Caenorhabditis elegans: one gene and its partner. The protein of the gene in region 1 purifies or fractionates together with the protein of each later gene. This does not show direct contact. Each region holds a gene or a part of one and is shown on either strand. Other genes may lie near its edges.

What was found. The genes of interacting proteins can lie anywhere in the genome.
Region 2: the proteins of kin-4 (region 1) and daf-18 purify together in Caenorhabditis elegans (affinity purification with western blotting, with the first as the bait; one study listed by BioGRID). This does not show direct contact.

The regions. Positions count from the first base shown.
Region 1 is NC_003282.8:11,423,905-11,428,786, reverse strand, and holds the start of kin-4 (non-specific serine/threonine protein kinase), read right to left. Parts: upstream 3,046-4,882; coding exon 2,987-3,045; intron 2,654-2,986; exon of another isoform or gene 2,633-2,653; intron 1-2,632. Other genes in the region: F22B3.8 (Tyrosine-protein kinase), read left to right, coding at 3,902-3,907, 4,090-4,235, 4,283-4,506, 4,654-4,847.
Region 2 is NC_003282.8:419,466-426,985, forward strand, and holds daf-18 (Phosphatidylinositol 3,4,5-trisphosphate 3-phosphatase and dual-specificity protein phosphatase daf-18), read right to left. Parts: upstream 5,713-7,520; 5' UTR 5,684-5,712; coding exon 5,473-5,683; intron 5,423-5,472; coding exon 5,178-5,422; intron 4,536-5,177; coding exon 3,670-4,535; intron 3,198-3,669; coding exon 2,595-3,197; intron 2,544-2,594; coding exon 2,099-2,543; intron 1,532-2,098; coding exon 1,133-1,531; intron 1,081-1,132; coding exon 961-1,080; 3' UTR 546-960; downstream 1-545. Other genes in the region: 3'-5' exonuclease eri-1, read right to left, coding at 152-486; garr-1 (putative H/ACA ribonucleoprotein complex subunit 1-like protein), read left to right, coding at 6,705-7,037, 7,086-7,487. UniProt on the Caenorhabditis elegans protein: Acts as a dual-specificity protein phosphatase, dephosphorylating tyrosine-, serine- and threonine-phosphorylated proteins.

The sequences.
Region 1 (4,882 bases):
GTTAAAACTAACTTGATGATACTCATAAAAATTCTAATTCCTAAAATTCAACGGAAGACGCCATTCCTCCTCATATTTGGGCGATGTCGCTTCTTTCAGCCTCTTCAACGATCTCCTCGCGCCGTGGTTCTCAGCCAAGTGTAAATATTCTCAATTTTTAGTTCATAAAAATCTAGAAAAATCAAAAAGCTAACTTGAATACTTAAATGGATGTTCTCTTTTCTCTTTCTAATCTACTTTCATCATTCAATTTGATATGACATTCCCTAATGCATAGTGATATTTGAATGAACGAGACAATTAGAAGAACACCCAATTGATTCAATTTTATACTTTAAGGGTTTGAATTTCTTTCAAGACAACAAAAGAAACAAAATTAAAAAGGAGAGAATGAGAAAGTAGGGCTTGCTGATGTAAACTTTTCTTAAAATTAAAATTGAGCATTGCACCTGCCAACTGATACGCAAGAAGAAACTTATTCGAGCTAAAAAAGGCATTCGAGCAGAAAATGCATTTTATTCATCTCTGAATATCATATTAAATTGTTAAATTGTTTGATAGCGGAAACGAATATGAATCGGAAATGAGATGATTCCATACTCTTCGAACAATTTATTCACGTTATTTTTAGAGGAGGAAGAGGAGGAAGCTTGATAGTTCAAAGGGTATTTCAAAGAGGCATTCTGTCTGGAAGCTTTGAATTTTCAAAATCAATGACTAATCGATATTTCAATTTTTTAACCTCCTTGATTTACAACAATCGTTCTATCGGTGAACCAAATTCAGTTAACACAAACCATTGATTTTAAAGTTTCAAAGATTTTTGTTTTCCTTTAGTAGAGAAAAAATCAAAGAATTCAAGTATGTTGCCATCAATTTTCAGTAAAAAAGTGGCAAACAAAATTTGAAGAGCTAGGTGCATTTCTACAACAATTTTTAAGTCCTAATTTTCAAAGTTTAAAGTCTTATTCTTTGATTTTTATTTTGAATTTCATTGATAATGTTCAAAGTATTTCCAGTGAGTCATTTTGGCAGAAAGAAGAACATTCTCCGAGCATGAAGCCATGTTGATCAGATAAATGACGCGAGTCAAGTGCAAAAGATTATTGTGTTATACTTTTTTATTTGATACTGAAAATTGTAACCTTTTCAACTGAGAGATTGGTTAAATGTACCTGTGTTTCAGAAATATTTTAAACCTATGCTCGGAGAATGCTTGACATTTTTTTCAAAATAAGTTCTGATAAAGAGCTTTCGATAAGAATTCAACAAGCATCTGCTGGCGGATGTACATAGGAGAGGGAGAAAAAAGAATACTCATAAAAATACATTTAGAATTGCACAAAAAAGTTGAGTTTGGAAAAATTTTAATTCGAAAAATACCCAAACCACAGAACAGGTACTACTTTTGTAGCGAAACTATATGACTTCCATGGCAGTAAGTCCAATATTTTTAAAGAATAAATAATTGGCATAACTTTTAGAAAACAAGAGGCATTTAGACTGCGAAAGTGTATTGCACTTCAAAATTTGAAGCAATTTATTATCTTAATTTTTCTGAAATCGGACAAGAAAAGAAGAAGTGAAAGGAGGCAAAAAAGACGAAGCTGAGCCAATCGATGGCCAAATTTTTTAGAACGACAACGACTGAAGACGACTTAAAAATATGAGCATACGGATAAACAGGGAGATTAACTGGCATCCGCCAACAGATTCACCATGCAAAGGATTAACTGTCAACTATAACATTTCTTTTATTTTCTCCTTTTTATAGAAAATATATTTATTCACTATTTCATCCAGGTTCGTCCGTTGACGTACTACAGCTATGCAACCAGATTTATTCGAATAAAAAGAATATCGTGATCTTCACAATGAAGCTCGTATTTCTATTTCAAAAACTTGACTCATTTTTAAGTAGTGATGAGATGCAATAACATTAAAATTTAGGTGCTTACGTAATAACCGGGCCAATCGGAAACAAGACGAAATCTAAAACGAACGCATTTGCAAAGTCGAGCTACTGGCTACTAGTGAAGATTTTTAATTTACATCGAGTTGAAAAATAAAGATAAAATAATAAAAATAAAGATGTTTATGATCCATGTTCTTGATTAGGATACATATTATAATACTTCGGAAATGACATACATACATAGGTATGCATACAAGAAGCAATATCGCTTCATTAACAAACTATCCTAGATCATAATTTAAAGAAAAATGTTACACTTTCAGTAATTGGACTTTGTCTCAATTTTTCTCTATTTAATGTATCCTGGCATACAAAGCGTATTATAGAAAAACCGTTTCCGAAAAATTTTAGTTTTTCAGATATTTCGAAAACAATTCGATTTTTGCAAAAATATATTAACATTTTGACCATTTTCCTTTTTTTTCAGAGAAAACATTTCATGTTTTTTCTCATCAAAATGAACAACTTTTGGTAATTTTTTAGTTTTTTTGTTAATTTTCTAAAAAAATTTTTCTTTAACTATAGAAAAAAAATAAAGAATATTGAAATAATTTTAGCGGTTTTGGAAAAAAAAAACATTATCTGCATCGAAATTCGACATAAAAAATATTTGCAAATAAAATTTTCAACTTATTCTTGATAACTTAAAAGCTTAATTACATGGACAATAATATGCAATTGATTTATAATTAAATTGAAAGTTAAAAATAAAAGAATAAAACAGTTAGAACAAATTCTACCATCATGACTTTTACAGAAACTTTGACACGAAAAAACAAAAAACCACAATAAAACGCTGTTCTCTATTATTTCCGCTTTCATCGAACGAAGAAGAAAATCATCCGACAATCGGCAATTCTATGCACGCAAAACATAAAAAGAACTGACAGAGACATGTGCAAAGAGATTTTTTTTAGGGGGAGATTTCTATTGCAATGAGAGAGATAATATCTTGTTTTATAGGTTGCATTTTTACTTTTTTCGGTTTGGTAAGATACACTCAGAACTCACTTTTCTGTTGCATTACTTGGGCTCTTCTTTTGATACATAACGACTCCAAAATTGAGCATTTGATTCTGAAACTATAGAAAAAAAAAAAGATTGGCTAGAAACAAAAATAAAAAGTTAGATTGGAGTTTTTGGAGGGAAACGTTGAGTAGGCGAAACGCCGGAGCTTATCAATCACTATGGGCAGTTGAGTGGAGAGAGATTTGTGATGTGAATAAAATTATAAATAAATTGAAAGTATTTCTGATCCTCTCACTCTCTCTTTCTTTCCTGTTCTCAACATTCACCTCTACTAATCCCCTTTTTCCAGCTCATCACAAGGTTGCTCTTCGTTTTCTGATTTTGTGTGCTCATGGATTACTGTAACATTTCTAGATTTAGATAATGGTAAAGTGTATGGTGAATGGTGACATATCCGAAAACATGAAACTTGAAAATATTAATCTAGTTAAATACTTCTGCCGTTGACATTTGAGACCAGCTATTATAATAATCTCCTTTTTTCCACTCTATAAGCAACAATTTTCAATATTTTGACATCCTGTGAATTGCAAAAAATGAATATATTTTCTAAGGGGTTCGATAGTAGACATGAATTTTTCAGACGTGCTCGCCTGCCTGCTTGCCGCTGATGAAAGGTTTGATAGGAAGATGCTAAATTATGGCAGGAGTAGGAAGTTGTTCCTAACTGTCGAGCAGTGACTTTGCACTTTGTTGTCAGGAAAATTTGGTTTAACCGTTAATCCTTCAGATGAAGTTTGATTCCTGGAAGTTTTCTGAATTTGAGTTGTATCACTGTCTGTATGTTTAAATACATAAACTCCCGTGAAAAAAATTGAAAAAAAAAACAAATACGACGAGGCAAACTTATTTATTTCCCAATATAATTTTACTCAAAATCGTCGTAAAATTTTTGCAATGAAGGTGAGTTGGAGTGCGGGAGTTCGAGCCTGCCTGTACCTGGCTACGCGTCTACCTGAAAATAAAATAAGACATCAGAAATTCTAGAATAAGTTTCCTGCAATGGGTCGCCTGTAGTATGATTATTTAAAAAAAAGACAAATTCGGTATTCCTGGTATAGTAAAATGTAATTTTCAATTTTCAGAAATCTGAGAAAAAAGAATGTAAGAGTGAAACGACCGAAAAGACTGAAAGGACAACAGATGGCAGCAGTATTTCAAACTCAGTTATGATCAATTTTCCGGACGACTCAATGTATCAAAATGTAGAAAAAACTAAAAGCGTTGGAAGGTGAGCAACTTTATCCCAAATATCCCAAAACACTTTTTAATTTCCAGAGTAACTAATGAAATGATTGACAATTATTTATTGAGATACCAATTTTTCCATGGTTTTGTGCTCCAAGAGCTACAACTGATCTTGTTGAAGACGAACGGAGACTTTCTCCTGAGATTGTCGCATCAACCAGAGAAGAATGCGAAGAAGCCGACGACTCCGGACAAAAGTGCCACTGATCCGATTCCACTGACTCGTGTCATTCTTGTTCTGTCCGTCAATATCAGTTTGTTTTATTTTTTGTTTTTTTAACTTCCTAGCAGCTTGGAAACTTATTCAATGAACTTCTCATAAGTTGTCAAGCTGTTGCGGGGAACTTGCCCTCACTGTTCGTTGAAAAACTCTAGATTTTACAATTATGTTCCCTATTCAGCACAAAAAACCGGCACCACACGAAGTTTCTATGGGGATCTGGAGGATGTGAAGAAAGAGAACATGGATATGCATTTGTTTATTGAAGAAACCGCCGGCAAATGGACCTCGTTTTATATTGAGCGGCGATTCAAGTTTCCGACTATTGATGAGCTTATCAACTACTATAAGGTCAACCCGATTTGCTATCACAATGTATGTTTGAGTGCTTTTCTAGCCATTTCCAGACG
Region 2 (7,520 bases), about 11 Mb from region 1:
ACGGATGACTATATTTAACGCAAAATGATTCAAAAAATGCTGTTTCTTTTTAACAAAACTATCAAAAATGAAGCAAAGCTATATCTTAAATGTACGAAATTGGGTTCTGTTAGGAAAATAAGAAGTTTGAATGAATTTAGCATAATTTTACCCTGTGGACACTTTAATCTTCATCAACGCTTGTTTTAGCTGTTCAGCAGTCATTGTATCCATTTGCCTTATCACTTTTTTCACGTATTCTGGTTCCACCATTGATTTTAAAGGCTCAACACGTTCGGAGGGTAAAAGTTGCTGTTCACGTGGAATATCGATTGATTTTTCAGATTCGTCGGTTCTGGTTTCAGCCGATTCCACTTCAACTGCTGTTTTTTCTGGTTCGTCATTCTGTTTTGCGTTACTTGCATCGAATTCTTGGCTGATTTTCAGCAAATCTCGTAGACTTTCCAGATATTTTTCGTCTTCTGGAGACGGCTCATCTGCGCTCATTTTTTAACTGAAATTTTAGAAAAACAATGTAAATTCGAATGCGCCTAGATTCTATGTATCGGAGAATATAATTTTTCTTTGGAATTATCACCAATTTCAATGTTACAAATCTAAATAATTAAACAAAAAATTGGTAAGTACAATTAATTTATGGGAGAATTGTGTTAAAGCCCATAGGATTAGTGATGACCCGCAATGTGAATTACAATTTCTGAGTAAGAAAACAGATGGAAGGGGATACATTCATAGGGAATTGCTATTTTTCACCCGGCAAAATATACATATATACGTGGAAAATCGGGAAGTTGAGAGCTATAATATGAATATACAAAATAATCGAACAATAGTTTGTTAAAAAACAAAACACTATACAGAAAGTGAATGATACTTTGAAGAGAAAACTTAAAACATTGAAATTATCTGAAAATTGGAGGGTCAGTAAGAAGAAAATCTTCTAAAAGTTTTGTTTTAGGTTTACAAATAAATAGCTTGATCAAAATTCGAATCCGAGAAGCTGTTTTCGGAAAAATGAGCAATTCTTGGGATTTTATCCTCTGGATGTAGCTCCGGGCACGTTTCACGACGCTCGATTTGCTGAAAAATTAACATTTTAATCACATAATAAAAAATAAAAAAGATTACTCACCACACGATGATTAGCTTCCAAATGTAGAAGCACATGATTGCGGGTCTTCTGAGTGTCTTTGCCAGTTTCTTTCACCATTTGTTCTCGAGTTTTCAGGGCTTTTGGATTTTTAGAAGAACCATTCGATTCTTCTACAACGTGCCCGAATCGCTCAAACGCTTCACCAAGAGTGTGTTCAAGATCGACTTCCTCTGCATTCGCTTGAACTCGTTGAAAATCCTCCGACTGCTCCAGTAACGCAATCTGTGCTTTAAAAACTTCGGCCTGTCCGGTTACATAATCAGCAAAGGAATTGTCCGATGGTACTTTGAATTGCTTCATAAACTCTTGTAATACACCTTGTCCATTAAGCAACTGGTCAACGAAGGCTTTTGCCTCTTGTTCAGCTATTTTCACTTCCTGAAAGTTAAATATTGAAAATACATTCAACATTTCCCGATAGTTTTTGATCTTACTAGGAGTTCTTATTTTTGGTGATCAGAGAGTTATGGGTCGAATGTTATATTTTCTGGAAGCTAATAAAACGAGCATATCGAATTCAAAATAAGAAATTTGCCCAAAGTGATGTTAAGGCAATATTTTCGACGTTGAAAGCGTATTTAAGCCAAAAAAGTCGTTGTTTTTGAAGCATGGACTTCAACGATACAAGAAAATAGTCACCTAACAGAATGTTAAGAACAATACGAAAATCATTATTTTAATAACGATAGCTAAATACTCAAAATATTTCTCTAAAAATCTGAATGAAAATTAATATAACTTACCACTGGCAACGAATGAATACGCAGGTTTTCAGCGAGGAAACATTATAATATTGATAATATAGAAATATAATTAGAAACTATAGCAATAGGAATAATTATTAGAAAAATTACACCTAGGAAGGTGAGTAGATTGAGGGGTCCCGCATATAATATAAAAAGTTCACTTTCAATTCCAAAATTTAAAATTTCAAACCAAATTCACCGAATCAGTGTGATAATCCTGACGCAGCATGTTACCGGCCGTATTTGGATGGTATGATTCATGGAATAGATGTTCGAGTGGTTCAAAACCAGCTATTGACTCTACGGTTTTGTGTTCACACGATTCTTCTTCCGGATTTTCGAAATCAACGCCGACGACTGGAAATCTTCGCACATTATCCGGTAGCCTCGCAGGAGGAAGTTCGTCTTCAGTTGCCGGCTTCACCTTGTCGGATTGTGAAGCTTCCGTTTTCTTGATAGTTCCGGGAGCACTTGATCCTGAAGTACTGGGTCCAGTATTTTCAATTCCTTTAGCTGCTTTCTCTGCGTCTATTTTTTCCTGTTCTTTAATGTAATGCTCTGGTGAGTGGAAGAACGGTTGCCCATTTTCATCAACATCATCGGTATCAGCTGGAATGTAGAAATGTTTCTTGATCAGAGGACAGCTGAAAATAGAAAAATATATTTATTTATTTTTTTCTCGAAAAACTCATTACTATCTGAATTTTCTTGGATAACGGCTTCGAGATGTACTGCGTTGCTTGTAGAAATATCGGCAATATCGATTAAGAACGGCAATATTTCTGTGCTCGAAAAAATCGCTAACAAGGTTCTCACTGCAGGCTCCATTATACTTTCCATCATTGCTTGAATATCGAACCGACGGAGGGTAATGCATTTCAGCACCTTTGGATCCGAACGCACACGGTTCAGGTCGCCATTTTGGATTCATTTGAGTCAACGCTTGAAGCCTCCGTGTCGATTCATTATGGAATGCCAGATTGCCGAACACTTCGCTCTTTTCCATCATTTTTGAATCACGAGTATCTACACAACGAAGAACAACGTGAAGTTTCATTCCGTTGTTAAGATCTTTACTCTTCAATGCTCGATCCATTTCATAAACTGGAAATGTGAGAACATGTTCCTCAGCTTTATATGGTATCTCAAATGGACCACCGACTCCTCGAATATCTCCACTTTTTCCTGATTCCGTGTATGATTTGTCTCCCATTGGCAGCTTACGATCATTATAGTCATCCTTGACGATACCTTTTTCATGCTTTTCGTGAAGAATCTTGCTGATCGTGTATCGAGGACTGAAAATGTTTGTATTTTGTACTCGCATAAATACGTAAAATACTCAAAAATTCGATCATTAACTAGTTTCGTATAAATTTGTGTAAATTTAAGCAGAGGAAGGTATTTACAATTTTTGTTGAAAAAGTAGGTTTATGATTAATTATTTTTATTTTCAACAATTCAATAATCAAGAAATCAGAATCTGTAGTTTTTTTTGAAATAAAGTTGACGAATATTGGCCTATTTTTCAATGGCTTTTTAAATCACGTTGAAACTGACGTATTTGAATTCAAAAAGAAAAATAAATTGGAGCCAACGAAGTGCTAAATCGACATATGACAGTGTTAGGTTCACACTGACATTATTCTGTTTCACTAGTCAGATTAGATTTAGCAGCCTTATCTCCACGATTTTTCGACAGAATATTACATTTTAATTTCAAAACTGTGGTAGAACACCCTATAAGTTGATTAAAACTTCAAAACTTACGGAATCATGCCATAATTGGTATAATTTTCCATTGCTTGTTCCTCCGTAATATGTTTTTCCAGTCCAGGAGGATTCACTATTTGCCACGGAGACTCAAATTCATTTCCAGTTTCTGGATCAATTTTTCGCATCGGCGTTTCATTTCTTCGCATTCCATTTTTCCGTCCGATTGATGTATCGTCTCCGATGTACGGCTGAGTTTTGTCTACGTACTCGAAATGTCCACCGTTGAGTCCTCCATCACATGCGAACATTGTATTGAACCAAACATGACCAATCTTCCCGTCCGAAAACTTTTTGAGAAATCCGATTTCGCGAATGTCTATACGAACATCTCCTTCGACAAATACTGGAGCATCTTCTGGCACCATAAAACAGTATGCTCTCTTGGAAACAAATCCATGATATTTTTGCTCTCCGGTGTCGAATTCGTTAGGCGTATCACAGTTGTTCAGCCACGTCGCACGCTCTCGCTGATGATTTGATTTGGAGATTATGAGAGGATCCGGCTTAAATAAAATTGTCGAGCCATTTCCAACCTCCACTTTTATCTTTGAACCACCACCCCATGTCTTTGGAGGCCGTTCCACGTAGACACCAATCAACTGCATTCTCAATGGTAAATAGTTGAGCTCACGTTCACGAAGCTTATGGTAGTAGTAAATGTAGCGTCGTTGTGATGGAATTGTGACACCTTTGTTGTTTTTTGTACGAATTATTGAGTAGTAGTCGAGAATTTGTCGTGGGCTCGGATAGAAGTTGATGTAGATGAGAAGAGCACATATCATCACTCCGGTACGGCCTTTTCCAGCTTTACAGTGTACAGCTATTACATGTTTATCGTCTGCTTCAAGCCATTCCTTAGCCTGCAAAACAGATAATTAATAAAGCTCTTATGATTTAAAGGAAGACTAACGGGTCGGACAATTTTGAACTTATAGACCCCAAAATTAGCTCCAATGGACACACATTTTTTATGGCGGTTAAACAACCAAAAAAAAAACTGATTTTTACCTAAAATCTCCAATTTTGTTCACTTTTCCGTGTCTAATCTGCCCGAAATTGACTTTGAATTATCATCCTTTATTACATATTTTGGTAGTTTATCTAATTTAATTTCGTTGACTAAGGTACATTTAAAGCCTGTAGGTAGCAAATTTTGATGATTTTTGGGTCAATATGGGTTTTAAATGTATCTTAATCGACGAAATTACATGATATAAACTACCAAAATATGCAATATAGGGCGAGAATTCAAAAAAGTCAACATCGGCCAGATGCGACACGGAAAAGTGGCCAAAATTCGAGATTTCAGCTAAAATCGGTGTCATTTTTTCGAAATTGTGAACCGCCATAACAGTTTGCGAAGTTTTATTACGAAATTCGTTCATTTGAGCTCATTTTGGGCCTGTGTTAGTCCTCCTTCAATAGAGTCCTCATGATTTAAAATTTCAGGGCAATCACGTTCATTCGGAAATTTTAGAGCCACAGAAGTGATGAAAAATAACCTCTCTGCAAAACGGAGCCATTAATTCGAGACTCGGCGGATGATGATCAGTCATATCGAAGCAAATAACATTTCCATCGAAGTTATCCGCATCGTAGTAGTATCCACCGCGCAGGTTAAACACCTTCACGTTGCCCTTTCCGTGCCGCCTGGTCAGAAATTGTTGAGTTTGAACTTTTGAGTTACGGAAATTCGCTTCGATTCCTGTTGCTGGATAACCGATAGCTATGATTCGGTCTGTGATATCTGAAAGTTTTGAAAATTGAAATGCTTTGAACTCAAGAGAAGTGCCTTACATGCACAATCTAGGTCGATATTTTGGTACTCGGTGCGACAACGATTGGAAGATACAGCCGTCCGAAAAATATGGCGAATCCGCTCGACGATTGAATTGTGATACGGTTCAGACACACGTGGTTCACCAGGTTGTCGGTTTGGATTCTCTTGAAGGTCACGAGCCATCGACCTGGTCGATGTGCTTGGCACATCTGGAGGAGGAGTAACCATTGGGGGTTAGTAGATGTACCTGGAAACTGCAAATTCATGAAGAGGAACGAATTAGAAGAGAATTTCAGCGAATTTTATAATTTAAACATTGTCAGGTGAAGTGTGATAGAATAGAATGCCAAATGAGCGCAAAGGATTAAGGGATTAACTAGCTCATGCTAAAGCTCAGATTTGTTCACGCAGAGAGCTCAGACCCGAGAGATACGAGAGGAGCAGAAAGACAGACTACATTTCCTCGTTAAGAATGAGCTGAAAAAGAGCTAGAAATCCGTTGAAAATCGCCAATATGCGTATTTTCGACTTAAAAAAAACAAGACTGATTTATTAGAAAATAATACCCGCCAGCGCCAATAGTAGAAGATCATATGAAATCATTTGATCAAAAAAGCAAAATTTTGGTCTACTGATTTATGAGCATTTTCAACCAAGAAATAGGAAGATTTCGGATATTTTTATAACCTACGTGTGGAAAATGTTTATTTGTATTGAAAAATCAAGAAAAAATGAATAAAAATTGTCGAAAAAGCAGATAAACACCGAAAAAGATCGGTTTCGCGGCGAAAAAACAAAATCCAAAAAATGTCTCTTAAAGGCGCACGCTAATTCAAACGGCACGGGTCTCGCCACGAACGCCTCTCTTCTCACTGCATTTTTCTCTTCTCTTCGATTTTTTTTTCGATATTTTTTAACGTTTTCCAATAGTTTTTATTGATTTTCTTGTTTAAAAACTGGCAAAAAACGAAATAATCGTTATTTATAAGTTGTATTTAGAGTCTAAAGTTTGTATAGTGCGATGAAATTCTTCGAAATAGGCGAAAATCAATTTCTTGTGATTTTCTTAATTTTCTCATATTTAGAAAATTGAAATTTCTGTGAATATTATGTACAAGAAAACCCCTTTTTGTTTTGCAATACCAATTTTTTCTATTGAATTTCTCAACAAATATATTTTTATGTCCAGTTTGATTTTATTTTGCACTTGAATAACTTTAAAGTTCAAAAATTGTTTGACATTTCAGAAATGAGTTTCCGTGGTGGACGTGGAGGCGGTGGTGGATTTCGAGGTGGTCGTGGTGGCGGTGGAGGCGGTGGATTCCGTGGAGGTCGCGGCGGTGACAGAGGTGGTGGCTTCCGTGGAGGACGCGGTGGATTCGGAGGGGGCGGCCGTGGAGGTTACGATCAGGGACCACCAGAGGAAGTTGTGCTCGTCGGTGTCTTCTCCCATCAGTGCCAAGATGATATTGTTTGCAACAATACGAGTGGAAAAATCCCATATTTCAATGCTCCAATTTACTTCAAGAATAAGGAACAAGTCGGAAAAATCGACGAGATTTTTGGATCCCCCGGGGAGAACGTAAGTAATCTCTTAATTGAAAATTAATCATAAATTTATTCGCTGCAGGGATTCTCCGTCACATTGTCACAAGGAGTAAAAGCCTCTTCATTCGAACCAGAGTCTCAGCTGTACATTGATCCCGGAAAGCTTTTACCAGTTGATCGTTTCCTTCCACAAGCCGGCGGAGGGCGTGGAAGAGGTGGTCGCGGACGCGGTGGGGATCGTGGAGGACGTGGCAGTGACCGTGGAGGTCGTGGAGGCTTTGGAAGAGGCGGCGGCGGTGGATTCAGAGGCGGGGATCGCGGAGGTTTTGGCGGTGGTCGTGGAGGATTCCGAGGCGGAGACCGTGGAGGGTTCCGTGGTGGCCGTGGAGGAGACTTCGGAGGTCGCGGACGTGGAGACTTCAAACGATCATACGATGGTGGAAGTTTCGGAGGACAGAATAATAAGAGAACTAAATTCGAATAATTGTTTCTTCTCTAAAAAACTGTATGTTCCAAT